2 linked regions of the Lonchura striata genome follow. Each later gene encodes a partner of the first gene's protein in a complex. Links are inferred from orthologs where the notes say so. Each region holds a gene or a part of one and is shown on either strand. Other genes may lie near its edges.

Region 1 (7,352 bases):
AAAGCTGAACTGCAGGAAAACAAGGATGGTTTAAAGACCCAGAGCTGCCTGCTAGAATGTTGTTTTTCCCAAGCAGCTGATAAACTGAAGGACAGAAGCAGATCCCCAAGAGCACAGAGAAGAGCTGCAGGGGCAGCTGTAGGGAGAGCTCTGTCCTTGCTGCACTGGATGGGACAATATCCACCCTCTTCCTCCACCTGTTCCTGACCCTCCATGCTCACCTGTGTGACGGACACAGAGGTGGCCCTAGAGGCATGGGCCACCAGTACCTACCTGGGCTTGCCACTTTCTCCAGAAGCCTCCAGCCCCTCTGAAGGTGGGGACACCGCTCTCGGCACTGACCCCGGCTCCGGTGATGATGGCGATGTGCTTGGCTTTGGCAAACACCTCTCGGAAATCAGCCATGTCTGTGCCAGGGCAGGGAAACGAGAAAACAAGGAGCTGTTCAGGCGCTCACACTCTCACCTAAGAGGCCACACTCACACTTCCATACACACCTCCCATGACTTTAATTTTGGAATAACAGTTGGTTCCTGAACTTCTCTATGTTGTAATTTAAAGGGCAGTTTCTGGAGATTCTCAAAATATGTGTCTGAGCAGGCTCAGTAGGGCAGGATGTGCTAAACATTATTATAGTCAATACTGGAAAGGCAGAGTCTTTAATTAAAACCCCACATTAGATGCTACCCCAATAACAACTGTTGGCACCACCACCCAGGAAGAGTTTGCTTCCCAATTGTTACTAAAATCTTGAGATAAAAAAAAATACATTTGTTTTGTTGTTGTTTTTGTTTGTTTTTTTTCTCCATGAAGTATCACCTTCAAAATTAAGGTAATTTGGGAAAATGTGCTTTCTTTTGAGGCATTTTTTCTGTTTTCTAGATTTGCAACTGTATTTTATATTTTTTAATGTGTTATTCCCACCACTTTCCCCTGCATGGTAGTTTGGGAAAAAGATTGAAAATTTCCTTTGCCTTTTTATGCGAGTCAAGACAAAATTAAAGAGGAACAGGTTAGCTGCAGACAGACAAGAAAAATATATTTTGCAGTTTACCTCAGATATGAATTTTAAAGCAACACAGGTTAGAATCACAAAATAAATGGCTGAGGTGGGAATGGACCTCTGGAGATTGTCTTGTTCAACCCCCTCTCCTTAAGCAGGGTCAGCCAGAGCAGACTGCTCTGGACAGTGTTCTGTGGGGTGGCTTTTGGTATGGACACGGACAGAGACTCCATAACCTTCCTGCACAATTCAATCCATTGTTTGGCCACCTCACAGCAGACAAACACCATGGAGTGTTTTTATGCATTGCCCTGGAGCCATCATTGCCACAAGGGCTCATCACTGGCTTAAGGCCAACGTGGTGCCCACCAGATCCCCAGGGACATTCCTGCCCAGCTGGTCACCCAAGCCTGTCCTGGGTCTATTTCTTCCCAGGGGCAGGACCCTCCGAGTACCAGCCACTCCTCCCAGCTTCATATTATGTGGAAACTTGCCCAGGATACACTCCAATCTATTGTCCAGATCATTAATGAAGGTGTTTAACAACAGTGACCTCAGTATGGATTCCCTATGGTGTCCCATGAGTGGGCAGCCTCCAGCTTTGAGCTGCTCGCCACAACCCTAATCCTCACAATTTACTAGGTGGTCTTTCAGATAGAAATCAAAACTACCCCCTGCCCCCTATACACACAAAAGCCCACCCAAAGACAGGTAAGTTCCTGTAGGGAGAAAGAGCCATTGGAGAGGTCCCAAAGACCCACAGTACAGAGCCCCTGGACTGGGCAGAGAACACTCCTATTCTGATGCCCCACCTGCTGCTGCAAACCAAACCTCACAAGCCCTTGATGTGTAAAGCTCAGGCCAAAAGCCCTCCCAGACAGGTGTCTGGCAGCAGCCAAATCCTGATGCTCAAGGCAGCAGAAAAAGCAAGTTTGCCTTGACCACCTGACATTAGGGAGTAGCTGTTGTACCTGTGTGCAGTTTTCAAGTTAAGGCACATTGTCAAATTGAAAAACAAAACCAAAACACCCCCAAACAGGTGAAAAGAGGTCAGCCTTAACTCCCAGTCTGAACAGGGCTCCTGGGGTTACCCAGCTCCTGAACTGTCACAAATACTCAAGGCCCATTCTTGTACAAAGAAATGAGGAATTAGTTTTATTACTCATTAGCATTATGAAAGGGAAATGCAATTAACCACTGCATACTTATGTGCATAAATTATAAACATTAAAAAGGTGTTTATGTTGTAACCATGATGACTGTAACAGTTTATGGAACTATACAGAATACAGTCGTAGAAAGGTAATTTTACTAGTCTGGGAGACAAATAAAGCAACCTCAACTGTTTTAAACATTTTTAATTAAGCCATGGATTTCACCTAGCACACAACACCTTCTAGCACTTCAAATCCACCTTAAAAAGCTGTCCGGGGTGCTAAAGCAAACAAATACACGCCTTACTTGAACTAGGACGGGCCATTTCCAAGCCAAACTTCTTTGAAGACGAGGCCTTAAGTCCACAACGCACTTGGGGAACCAGCCTTCTAGCGGCAGACTGGAACAGACACATCGGGATCCCTCGGAAGTGTTTCACCTGGGGAGAAATAAATCAAACGTCAGCGGCCCAGGCAGGGTGCGCATTTCTGCCAGCTCCCCGTGAGGGGCTCTCCTTGGAGAACCAGCTGCGAACACGGAATTCCTCCTGCACCTGCAGAACACGGAGCCATCCCCCAGCCCGGACCCTGGGGCCGGGGTCACCGCTTTTGCTCAGAACGGGGCACATCAGCCCCGCTCCACAGCGGGGCTTTCGGCCGACGTTCAACTTACGCCACGCTCCCGAGCTGCGCTGCTAACCCGAGGCGGCTCCCAGGACCCGCCGGCATGGTAAGAGAAAGGGGAAAGGCGAGGGACGGACCCGCGGGGGCGGCGAGCCTACGTGCCGCTGCCGGCCCGCAGAAGGGCGAAGGGGCAGCAAGGGCGGGCGGGGCCGCCGTGCGGGAGGCGGGACCTCCGTGCGGGGAGGCGGGACTGCCGTGAGGGGAAAGCGGGACCGCCGTGAGAGGAGGCGGGACTGCCGTGAGGGGAGGCGGGGCCGCCGTGAGGGGAAAGCGGGACCTCCGTGCGGGGAGGCGGGACTGCCGTGCGGGAGGCGGGACCTCCGTGCGGGGAGGCGGGATTGCCGTGAGGGGAGGCGGGGCCGCCGTGAGGGGAAAGCGAGACCGCCGTGAGGGGAGGCGGGGCCGCTGTGAGGGGAGGCGGGGCCGCCGTGAGGGGAAAGCGGGACCGCTGTGAGGGGAGGCGGGGCCGCCGTGAGGGGAAAGCGGGACCTCCGTGAGGGGAGGCGGGACTGCCGTGAGGGGAGGCGGGGCCGCCGTGAGGGGAGGCGGGGCCGCCGTGAGGGGAGGCGGGGCCGCCGTGAGGGGAGGCGGGGCCGCCGTGAGGGGAGGCGGGGCCGCCGTGAGGGGAGGCGGGGCCGCGGGCCTCACTCGCGGCTCCGCCCGCCTCACGCCAGCCCGCCGCGCCCCGCCCCGGGCGGCGCCTCGCCCCGGGCCTGCGGCGCCGCACGTCCCGCCCGCACTCCTGGGGGAAAGGCCGCGGCGTTACGGGATGGTGGATGGATGCACTGGAGGCAGCCGCGTGTCGCTCCCCGGCGTTGCGCTGTCCCTGCGCCTTGCCGGAGCGTATCAGCTGGAATGAGACGCAAATAGGTCAGGGAAGCTGGGTGGCTTTCCAGCGTCATTCCTCTCTGCGGTCCGCCCGTGGCCGTTCGCAGTTCACGCATGAGAACTCCGCTGCATTTGGACAGCACACAGTTTATTTATTTATTTTTTAATGAGGAAACACTGTTTTTAGCATGTTTTGGTGCATAAAGAAGGCAGCGCCTGCTCTCATCCAGCCGCCTCCTCCCCACCCTTCCCCAACAACCTTAATCATTGCGGTCCTTTTCAGACAGAGGTTTTGCCACATTTTCCCTTCCCTTTGGATTCCGTAAATGACCAGCTAAGCAGATGAAGAGGCCCCCAAAACACGTACCCAGAGAGGGGAAAGGCTGAAAGCAAGCCCCGAGCTCTTTCGAGTCTGCCGGCTGTCCAGCGCCGGGGGCAGCTCCGGTTCCCCACTGCCGCCGGCACAGGGCGAGTTACCTGAGCGAGCTCGCCCGAGCGCAGGGCAGGAACAGCCCTGCTGCTCCCAGGGGCTGGCAGCCGACACCCCCCGTTACACTGCTCCACGGCACTCCGTGCTGTTTACAGAGGACCGGCGCTTCGTACTCTGCCTCCAGCTGCAAACTCGAGGGAAGCCTTTGGTGGGGGAATGCTGACAGCGAGCGCTGCTGACTAAACGCTTGTGCTGGTGCTTGGTGGGCTGTCACAGCTGCTCCCCGAGCCCTCCGTGTCTCCAGGAAAGTAAGCGTGCTCGGAAAAACAGCGCGTCATAAACTCAGAAAACAAGCTGAAAGCCAGCGTGATCTTACTTAGCATTCTAACGACCCTGATGTCAAAATCCATTAATTCTGTGCAGACTGGGAAAACAGGATGGCAGATTTGTTGAATGAGGGATTGGCTGTGCATAACGTTATTCATTATCATAATTGGTGTTTTGTTTTTTTTTTTTTTAATTGACATCTTGCTACAGATTGTACACTGTACAGACTGTCTAATAAGCTACACTGTGCTTATTAGGCAGTGTATTTTAGCTGCTACTTAATCTTAAAAAAAAAAAGCAATTTGCAGTTGCACTATCACCACAATTTTCTTCCACTTTGAATCCAAAGTTCAAACCAGCAGAATCCTAGTCTAACATCGCTAACAAAAAAAAAAAAAAAGATTCTGTTTCTGTACTAGAATTTTGAGGAGCACATCAACCAAAGAGCTTTCATCTTCCTATCACATTGTTGCACCTGTCAGCTGTGCTCCTAATTTTACATCAACCCAGGTCAGGGCATGTTCACTTGCAAGGTTTGCAAAAGTACAGGTTTTTTAATAAAACCAGAATTCACCATGGCATAGTTTTTGTGAAATGGGTACAGAAGGACACAAGGCTGGCTTGCTTTCGTCTCTTTGGCATATACAGAATGCCTACTCCAAGAGCACAATTATCCCAGTGTTTCCAAAGCCTGAAACAATGAATAGCCCAGATGATGCTGGCTGATTTGCTAACCTGGTGTAACTACTGAATGTGTGCCGTAAGAAAATGGCCACACTGATTTTCCAAATTGTTTGTACTGATCCTGGAAAAATATTTTAATGCCAATGTGTAAGTAGATTTCCTAAAATGTTTATAAAAATATTAAAGTGACATCTAAACTTAACTTCAAGATGCTGGCATGTTTGCCATTGATACCTGGCAGTATTCCACAATCATCTGTGCCCAATAAAATAATTCTGCATAAAATCTTTTTCTATTACAGTAGTTTTCCTTCAGCAGCAGTGTCATTAATGCAGTGAGAGCAACTCAAGGTGGACACCAGAAGCATGAACTGTTCTGCAAAGATACACATTTCAAAATCAATTAACACTTAAGAATCCTGTCTTAGAAGGGACAAAAGCCATGGCAAGGGCAAGTACACTGAACTTCACAGCCCCTCCTTTCACTGCCTCCTCCAGCACATTGCCCTCCCAGATGCCAGCGGCTGGGGCCTTTATATATTTAGCAATGATCCTCTCTTATCTGTCTTCCAAGAACTTGTCCCATCTCCCCTTGACCATCGGGATTCTGTTCTCTGGCAGGAGTTCTCCACCTCTGCTCCCTCTCCTGGGAAGGACAGGGAAAGCAGAAGGTGAGGAATGTGTATTCAAAGGGGCTGCTCTTCTCTGAGGCTCAGTGGTAAGAGAGGTTCATACCCTCTAGTCTTCCACTCCAACATCACTAGCCTTCAGCATTTTTACCAAGTCCTTTGCATCTGAGCAGCACCAGCTAGAAACAGCTCCCTCTTTGAGCATTAAGCCTAATTGTACCGAACACAAGTAACACATTTTTTTTAAATCCCAAGTAAACAGTCTGTATTCTAACACACAACAGGTCTGCACCAATTAAATACAGTATGGCAATATATAAATTACAGGTCTTTACAGTAAATAGTAAAATACGAGAGTCCGCTTATTGTACACAACAATCAAAGAACAGCAGCTTTTCAGTAAGGTCCCAGGTATCTCAATCATTCACTTGCTAAGGAACAAAGAAAAGATACAGCAGGCCATTCACTTCACTCATTTTTTACCATGTTGCTTTACAAATATCCAGAACACTTGTACAGGCATCTACAGTATCTACATGTGGAACAACCTTCTTAGGAATTCATAAGCACCAGACATAAATCCCTCCATCATTTCCATTATTAAAATAAACTTTACAGATTAAAATTACTTTAGCAGGTTCTATTTCATCTTGATAATAAACCAGCAAGTAACAAGTGCAAAGTCTGCAGTCATGATCCATTTACTGCTTCTTTATTTCCCATTTCTCCCCACCCCGCACCCAAAAAAACTAAAACCCCTAAAAAACCCAGAATGTTGTCCTCTCACACCCTTGGAGTAATACTGTTTCTGCAGTCAAACTGCCCAGCTGGCTTTTGCTAACATGTGAAATGCCAGACTCATAGCTTCAGGCATCATCAGTCATTCCAATGCCAAGTCAGCACAGTGGCAGGCCTCAAGGAAGACAAAACATATGAAGCAGTTGGATATTTCAGTGTGCTTAAACATGGAAGGCTGCATGGTGCCCAGTGACTGAAAGGAATATGGCACCAAGTTACCAGTTAAAACATTTACAATAGAAAGATATAAACAGCAAATATGTCAGTCTAAAACAAGTTCTTTGGTAATTAAGAACAGCGGTTGGGTCTTTTTTCCAAAATGGATTCACATCCTGTTTTTTCCTCAATAAAATATCTTTTGTTGTTTAAAATATATCTCCCAAGTTGTTGTGTAACAAATAGTCCAGTACCTCAGTTATCTACAATCAGCTTTAACTGTGTTTTAGTGTGCAGCCATATCTGCCTACTGGCAGACAATCTATAGATACACATTCATATATATATATAATATATATATTATTTATAAAAAATTAGAGAATTAAGTCAAGGACTCTAGAGAATACACATTCCATATGGACAGGTTAAAATGTACAATAGCTTCAAAAATCCATAAAGTTTTCTACACAGTGACGCGTGTAGTAAGTGCAAAAATACTGTGGTTTAGTTAATCCAAGATTTCCTGTTTTCCTGTTTCCTAGAAAAAGCAGAAGCTGCTGCATCTCCTGAATGGCAGAGGACGTCTCCTCCTGTCTTGGGAGTGGCTGATGAGCCTTGAAGCACAGAACTCTTCCGTTTCTCTGAACTGGAAGGTGCCTG
Region 2 (7,350 bases), on another chromosome or scaffold:
ACATTCAGTCAGGCTGCTGACAGCCTTCTAAGCATACTGCAGCCACCACTGCACAAGTTCTGATCTCCAGCCCACTGCCAAATGGTCACTAGCAATTCAAAGCCAAACCAAGGTGCACCTTCAGATACCCTCCAGTCCTTCCTATGGCCAGACCATCTGTGTAATTAGAGAAGCACATGAAATTACCTTTGTAGTCAGAGAGCTTGATGTCTTTGAACTGTCCATCTGGCATTACAGCCGTGGCAGTAAAGTCAGGAGCTGGTTTTCCAATGAAAGCCTTTCCTGAAGACATCTTGATTTAACCTAGACAGGAGTCAACACCAATACAGTTTAGATGGCAGTACATTTGCAGCTGGAAGTAAGGATTTATTCAAAGCATCTTATCAATCTAGATTAAACACCAAAGACAGTTTATCAGCACTTGGTCTTTAAACAAGGCTTAGGGGTTAAATGAGTTTTGTCACCTGGGTAGTTGAACCACTATAGAGACTGCCAGCACTTCAAAATCTATGGCACATGGCCTCCTAAAGATACAGTAGTGGTTATCTAACCACTAATAGCTCAGCGTCTGGCAAACTCCTAGCCTAGAGCTTTACTAGTACTCAGAAAACCATACCATTCCACATGGTGGAAGAGTAGGAAGTATGTTTTTCAGAATTTTCAAGGAGAAGAACCTTGTTCAATTTTACAAGGGAATTTAAGACCTCAAACTTGAGCTTCCTGTTGATTCTGAAAGAAAATAACGTCTGTTAATCTCCAGGGAACATTGCTCTGCATAGCTACACTTAAACCTTTTGAACAATTCAATCCTTTTTTATTTGCAACCAGAAAAACTCGTGGCACACATGGAAATCACATTCTATGTTAATTACAATTTCACAGAGTCTAAATCAGTACAGCCAGGTTGTTTCCCCTTTATTTCTATTGAAAAAGAAAAAAAGGGTACACAAGGATAAAAGAATGCTACTTCTGGCTGTCTCCCCCAAAAGCTTGTCATCTGCAATACATCCCGTGTAGTATTTTTGCTCAGTCTGGGAGTGTAGTACAACTCTTTAGACTTCCAGAGCATAATCTTTCAAATAGGTAACTCTACAAACGTAATTTCTGCAGATCACATAATATTCTTAGAAGCTATTTCACTTCATTCTACACACTGCAGCACTGGCTGCCTTGGAGATGAAAAACACCTCAAAGGTTAGCATGACTCTCATGTTGCTAAGGAAAGCCAAGAGCCAAGGATTGTTCCAAGTTGTGCCTGCAAGGCACCAAGTCCGTTCTAAAAAAAGTTGAGAGCACCTCATTTCTTGGCTCCTTCCCCCTTGCCAGACACTTTTTTTCCTGGAGAACTAGCCCACAAGTCAAACATTTAGCTTTGAACCCACACCTAGCCTTTTTAGAAATGGTTTCCTTTTGCAAGTTTCTTTTACACACCCTGACAGTAATAATCCACCTCTTTATTTCCATTTTGAGAAGTGCTCACACACTCAGCATTTCTAACTGTAAAACAAAGCTCCTTATCCCCATGTTCATCCGAGGGTTTTTAGTCTTTAACTGCAGCAGACTGGGAGCGAATATGGTGGCCAGGACTAGAGATCATTTGTAGGATGCAGTGAAGTAGCCTGGCAGGAGGACATCAAGAATCCTGTACACACAAATGGAGCTGTGGCTCTCAAAGTGCAGTTCTGCAAGAGGGACAGGGGAACAGCACAGTATTTATTTGAGATGCCTCCAACTAGCAAGTTTTATCTTATAAGCAAGAGCTGCTCAGCCTGGAGTGCATGACCCCACATTTTTATCACTGAATTACATTATTTTCTGTTATCCCAGCTCAAGGTCATCCTTTTGCTCAGTACTATGCCAGTCCTTCTATATTTATTCCATCAGCAATTCTCTGGAGTATTTCACTAGATATTCAAGGTCAGACTGCTCTTTGATACTTCCCCTTTCTAAACTACAAGTTATTGCCCCTTTCTCTGGTACCATTAAAATATTTTAATATTTGCAGGAGACTTTGGTTGCCTCACACTTCAAGAGAGCCATGTGCTTTCCTCAGAGCACCCGCTGTGATCTGCCAACCCTTCTGCTATTCCGTGTGGGGTCCGCGCGTGTTCTGCTCGGATTTTTAGCCACAGCATTTCCTAACCCGCAGAGGAGCAGACCACAGAATCATTGTTACTTCCGTTCATTCTGCAGGAAAGTAGAATGAGCACCTTAAACCAAATACACTCGAATCCGGCCAGAGTATCTTTGTTGCTCATAGCCGCAGACGGCCTCAATTATCTTCAAACAGCAATTATAATGAGCCAGGCCTGCTCTCTTGAGCGAGCGATTTCATACCTTTAGGGTGCCTCGAACAAAAGCGAAAGGCCGTTTCAAAAGGCGCCATCAGCCTCCCCCTCTGCCACCTCCAGACTGTCACACAACGCGGTCGGGCCGCCGCGGCCGCGCTCGGGGTGCGACACCGAACCGCGGGCATCGCGCACGGACCGCGGCACGCGTGGGGCCCCGGGGCGGCCCCCGAGCCTGCCCCCGCTCTGCGACCGGGGAACCCGCCCCCTGCACGTCCCCGAGCCGCAGCCAGCGCTCGGCTTTGGGGTTTCTTAAGGCTTAGGAGCGAGATGCCGCCTCCTTGTCGGGGAAGGGGCCGCTCGGCTCCCTGCGGGCGCCCTGCGCGCTCCCCGCCCGCGGCTCCGCCCCGCGCAGCGCTGATAAAGGCCGGAGCGTTGGAACGACTTCTCTGCTCGCTCTCCCCGCCAAAAAAAGCCCAAACCAAAACCAGGGGAAACTGAACACGGCGGTTCAGGCGGCAGCGATCCTTCGGGAGCGGGACGCGGGGAGAAAGGGCTCGCCCCACGCGCCTCGTTCAAGCGCGCATCTGAGCAGAGGGGGAGGGGAAAGCGAACAAAAAACCCACCCAAAGCAGTAACAAAAACCACACAAAAATAAAATTAAATTTTAAAAAAGCCCAAAACACTGTGCAGAGCCCGCAGCAGCCCCCAGAGCCCCGCACACTCACTCACTCGCAGCGCAGCGCCGATCCGCTCACAGCAGCCGCTCCGCCCGGCCCGCTCTGCCGCAGCCCCGCCGCGCCGCCCCCTTTATAGCGGCGCGATCTCGCGAGCGGACGCGCGGGGAGGGGAGCGCGGCCGCGCCTGCCAGGGCAGCATGACTTGGCAGATCCTTCCCTGGAGAGAGTCCCGGGAAGTGCCGCGCAAATCGCCAATGCCGCGGCTATAAACGATTGATGGGCTTGGTGCAAGAAGCGATGGCGTTTTTAGTGCCCTAATTGACCTAGCTATGATTATTTGAAGTCCTCAGAGGGCACGCAGGACTTTGAGAGAGGAAAAGGGATGACTGGCATGTCATTCATGTGAATTAAGTGTTGGTCATTGACAGAAGTAAAACGAAACCTCTCACGAGCAGAACAATGTGTGTTCGCAGTGTTGCACAGGTGCGGTGTCAAATCTCCATCCTCTCGCTCTGCATTACCCACTGCCCCCTCTCCCTAATACTCGTCCCAAGGCTTTCATTGATTCTTCTCCATCAATGGGAACACCGATCCCAGTCATGCAAGTCAGCAAAAGAAAGATGAAAACTAAGTTTAAAGTCTAATCGTTGAGCTTCAGTGGTAAAATGGAAACTCTTGGGAGTTTTGCATCATTCTGTAGTGAAGCTGCTCTGAGTGATGTTTAACATCAGTGATTTCACATAAGTGCTGTCTTTGAATCTAAAAGTGAACAAGGAGTGTGGTACTTTTTAAGGGCCAAATTTTGATTTTAAATGTGAATTTATTTTATTAAATAATAAATATCTAAAGCCATTAAGCCATATCAAAGACAAAAATGCTTGCTTCTGTCAAAAGTGATAAATGTGCTCACCAACTGATTTTTACTCATCTGTTTTGCAGTTTACAGTTGTGCTTCTTATATTTTTTAAAACTTGATTATAAATATTGATGAGGAGAAAACCACAAAGGATTAACAAACTTTAAAGGTTTATAGTCAAGATCACTGTGCAGTGTTGCTGGGTAACTATACCGTTGTGGTGGTTCACCCAGAGATGACTCATTTTGGGACCAGATGAACTTAATCCTTAATGAATACTGAAAGCAAATAACATGCATATATGTACTCAGGAAAAAATCTGCACTCACTTCCATGCAACTAATTTATCTACTTCTATTGCTATAGCATGCTTAATCTTTTACAGGAAGAAGTTTACTTTCTTAACATCAGCACTGAGAATTGAGGTCTATATATTGAGATATGTATATACTTCTCCATCGCCTCAGGCCAATGAGCCTGTGAACAGATTAACTCCTGAAAGGTCAGGCAGTTCTAATTAAAGCCTCCAGAACAATGTAGTGCCACTGCAACGCTGGCATGTTTACAAATGGACAAAGTAATCATGACTTTCTCGTGGTTTCTGACTCCTTCAATGCTTGTTATGCTGATTTCTCATAATTTCAGATGCACAATATACCCAGTATGGTCTGCAGGTTGTTCCAGGTTTGTGCTGTAAGCATTGCCTTTCCATTCAGATGTCTATGGCCTCATTACTTTTGATTAATTTCTGAGCTTGTCTTTCCAGATGTCAGTTTTTGGAGGTTTTGGAATAATAAATTGTCAGGGCCACTTCTTGTTCAGTGAGCACCTGGGTTTCTGTAGCCTTTCTCAACCTTTAGATGTAGGATGCTACTTAGATTAAAACAATCATGTTTTCCAGGAAAGAAAGGGCAAGTCTACCCCCGCAGGTGCTGGAAGGATGGAGTTCTCTCCACACAGCAGTGTAACTGTGCTGTCCTGTACTGATAAAATAGCTGCCAGACAGGATCAGCTTGTACCTGATTAGCATGGAGCATCAGAGCCCAGTGCAGGCCTCTCTGCACCCAGCCACTCCGACAGGGACACAATAAGTACTTCATCTATCAACAAAGAGGAGCTGGCAGGCCCTGCAGTGCCAGAGCACTGAAACTACCCAAACTGGGAGCCAAACTAGCTTTCACATCCATCATTTTGATTACAGTATCTCTCATGTATCTTGGTTGGGAATGGGCCCCTGATGTGAAAAAACAAATGCCCTGCTGTGTGTAAAAAGAAAGGCAAAGAAACTGGACCTGTTTCAAAACGTTACCACACGTTTGGGTTTCCATGCATTTGAGAATAGTTTTGTGTAAGAGTATCAAAGATTTCCAGAATAAGATAAATTTGGCTGGAATAGTAATGGATTTGGCAACACTAGGCATGCCCCTGGGGCACACAGCAGAGGTAGTCCCTGCATGCCCTCAAAAGCCAGCACACTGGGACACCCTCACACATTCCCTGTGGAGTTCATCACTGCATGTGCCAAAAGTCCACTGAGTCCTGAATATACCAAACCTCCTACATACACATGGTACTACCAGAGGCACAGTCAGAGTCAAGTCCTGGCCATGTGGGGACTATTTAATTTAATGTGTGCAGAAAGTCAGCTAACAAGTCAGCAACTAACAAGTTCCATGGGGCATTTATGCACAAGCAGCTGGTGCACAATCATTTTAATGAAAACAACTGCATGCCATTAAATATACAATACACATAGCTTTCCTTGTTTGAATCAAGTTTTTGACCTATTTCTAGGTCAAAATTACCTCTTCTCTGATTTTTTTTCAATTAGCAGGCTATTACTGTATGTTTGGATAACCACTGCCTTTTGATTACAAAATTTTTCAGTCTTCCTTACCTTTTCTCTTTTACTCCCCTATTACATTGCTGGAGGCTAAGGTTTGTTAAAGTTTTCATATGTGAGATTTACATAATTCAAGCATCTTCTTTTGCTTGAAGATTGTGGACTTTCAAATGGATGTGTTTGCCAGGGTCTTCATAAAAATAAATCAAAATCAGCAGTGATTCCTCCCCCTTTATTCTTTCATTTCCCGACTCCTGTTACTTATAATTGTCTTGTCCTTGCACTTTTCTTCCACTTTCCCTTATTTTGTCAAAACAGGCTGTGCAGCATGAAAATCTGGTCACATGCATGCCCAAGAGATTAACTGACCTTTGTGCCTTTAAGTCTCCTGAGCAGTTCAAGTCAGAACAGAAAAGACTAAATCTGCTGCAGATTCTTCTTTCTGGAAATAAGTAAGAGGTTCTTCAAGAGGCTCACCAGAGGTATCAATTGCCTTATTTCTGATCTAATCTTACTCTAAGTTCTGAACGTTTATAAATTGCTTGTAAAGATGGGATCCTTTTTTGGAGTAATAGTCAGAAGTGATTATCTGTTTTAAGTTGTGTTTAAGATTGGGTGCACAGTTGATTCTCGATTAGAGGCCAAAGTCTGCTCCAGCAGAAGGCTTTGATTTGGCAGCAGCAGGGCTGTCCCTGCCCAGCAGTGAAAGCGCTCAGCTGAATGAGCCTGCTTTAATCTCACTGCGGTCCCGAGCAAACAAGGAAATGAATTCCTGGCCATCTGCAAGGAGAGAAACCCCGGCTTTCTCGGAAAGTGCGACTTCTCTATACACCTTAGAGTGCAAAAGGTGAAGCAAAACGAGTGCAACCGGCCTTTCACTTTCCCTTGATTCCTGTTATTTAGGTCTGCAAATAAAACTGGGTATATTCGGTCTTCCTACAAGTAGAAATAGCTTCAAGAGGCCGCGACAAACAGCAGCCAGGGAAATGCAAACGCTTCTTGTCAAATTTATGGGCCGGGGTCATCTTTTGTCTGTCCCCCCCGTGCGGTGCAGCTCATCGCATGCATCACTTCACCGCTGGGCGGGAGCGGCGAGGCTGGGCTGCCTGAGCTCCCCGGGACCCGGGCCGGGAGGCCCAGGACACCAGCGGGGCAAACCCGAGCAGTAACAGGAGCGGGTCGGTGCCGGGGAGCCCGGCCGGGGGCAGGGCCGTGAGGGCAGCTCAGCCCCGCTAAACCCCCACTGACAGACTTTAATGGACTTCCACATTTGAACCCGCCAGGGGCAGCCGCGCCGCCCCAGCCCGCGGCCCGCTGGCGGCGGAAGCGGAAGGGCCGGGCAGCAGCGGGGGCAGCAGCCTCAGGAGCGGCGGGAGCGGCGCTCGGTACCGGCGGTGAGTGCGGGAGCGGCGGCGCCCCTTATCGCCCCTGCAGCGCCCCGCGCCGCGCGGGCCCGCCCTGCGCCGCCCCGATAAGGGGCAGGTGGGCGCACTCGGCCTCTGCAGGGGAGCCGGAATGGAGAGGGGTTATCCCCGATCTGTGCGGCGGGAGCTGCTCGGTTACAGCGGCTTAAGTATCGCCAATATGTACCTGTTTGCATAGCTATACGTATTAATAGTATGCATAGCTGCTGAAAGACTCGTTGCTTTAAGTTAAAACAGAGCTGTAGCTGTGGGTTGATGG

What was found.
Region 2: the proteins of SIRT5 (region 1) and PRDX1 are in contact, whole or in part, in a crystal structure (PDB 8Z54), measured with the Homo sapiens proteins. The link is inferred for Lonchura striata from reciprocal best matches to the Homo sapiens genes SIRT5 and PRDX1. Residues at the interface, in NP_001363727.1 of Homo sapiens: Ala86, Tyr102, Arg105, Gln140, Ile142, His158, Val220, Val221, Trp222, Phe223, Gly224, Glu225, Asn226, Leu227, Leu232, Val253, Val254, Tyr255, Pro256; in NP_001189360.1 of Homo sapiens: Phe195, Ser196, Lys197, Gln198.

The regions. Positions count from the first base shown.
Region 1 is NC_134603.1:88,965,583-88,972,934, reverse strand, and holds the start of SIRT5 (NAD-dependent protein deacylase sirtuin-5, mitochondrial), read right to left. Parts: upstream 3,003-7,352; 5' UTR 2,831-3,002; intron 2,598-2,830; 5' UTR 2,574-2,597; coding exon 2,465-2,573; intron 408-2,464; coding exon 274-407; intron 1-273. Other genes in the region: kinesin-like protein KIF13A, read right to left, coding at 7,197-7,352. UniProt on the Homo sapiens protein: NAD-dependent lysine demalonylase, desuccinylase and deglutarylase that specifically removes malonyl, succinyl and glutaryl groups on target proteins.
Region 2 is NC_134611.1:13,332,920-13,340,269, reverse strand, and holds the start of PRDX1 (peroxiredoxin-1), read right to left. Parts: upstream 3,116-7,350; 5' UTR 3,017-3,115; intron 304-3,016; 5' UTR 293-303; coding exon 187-292; intron 1-186. UniProt on the Homo sapiens protein: Thiol-specific peroxidase that catalyzes the reduction of hydrogen peroxide and organic hydroperoxides to water and alcohols, respectively.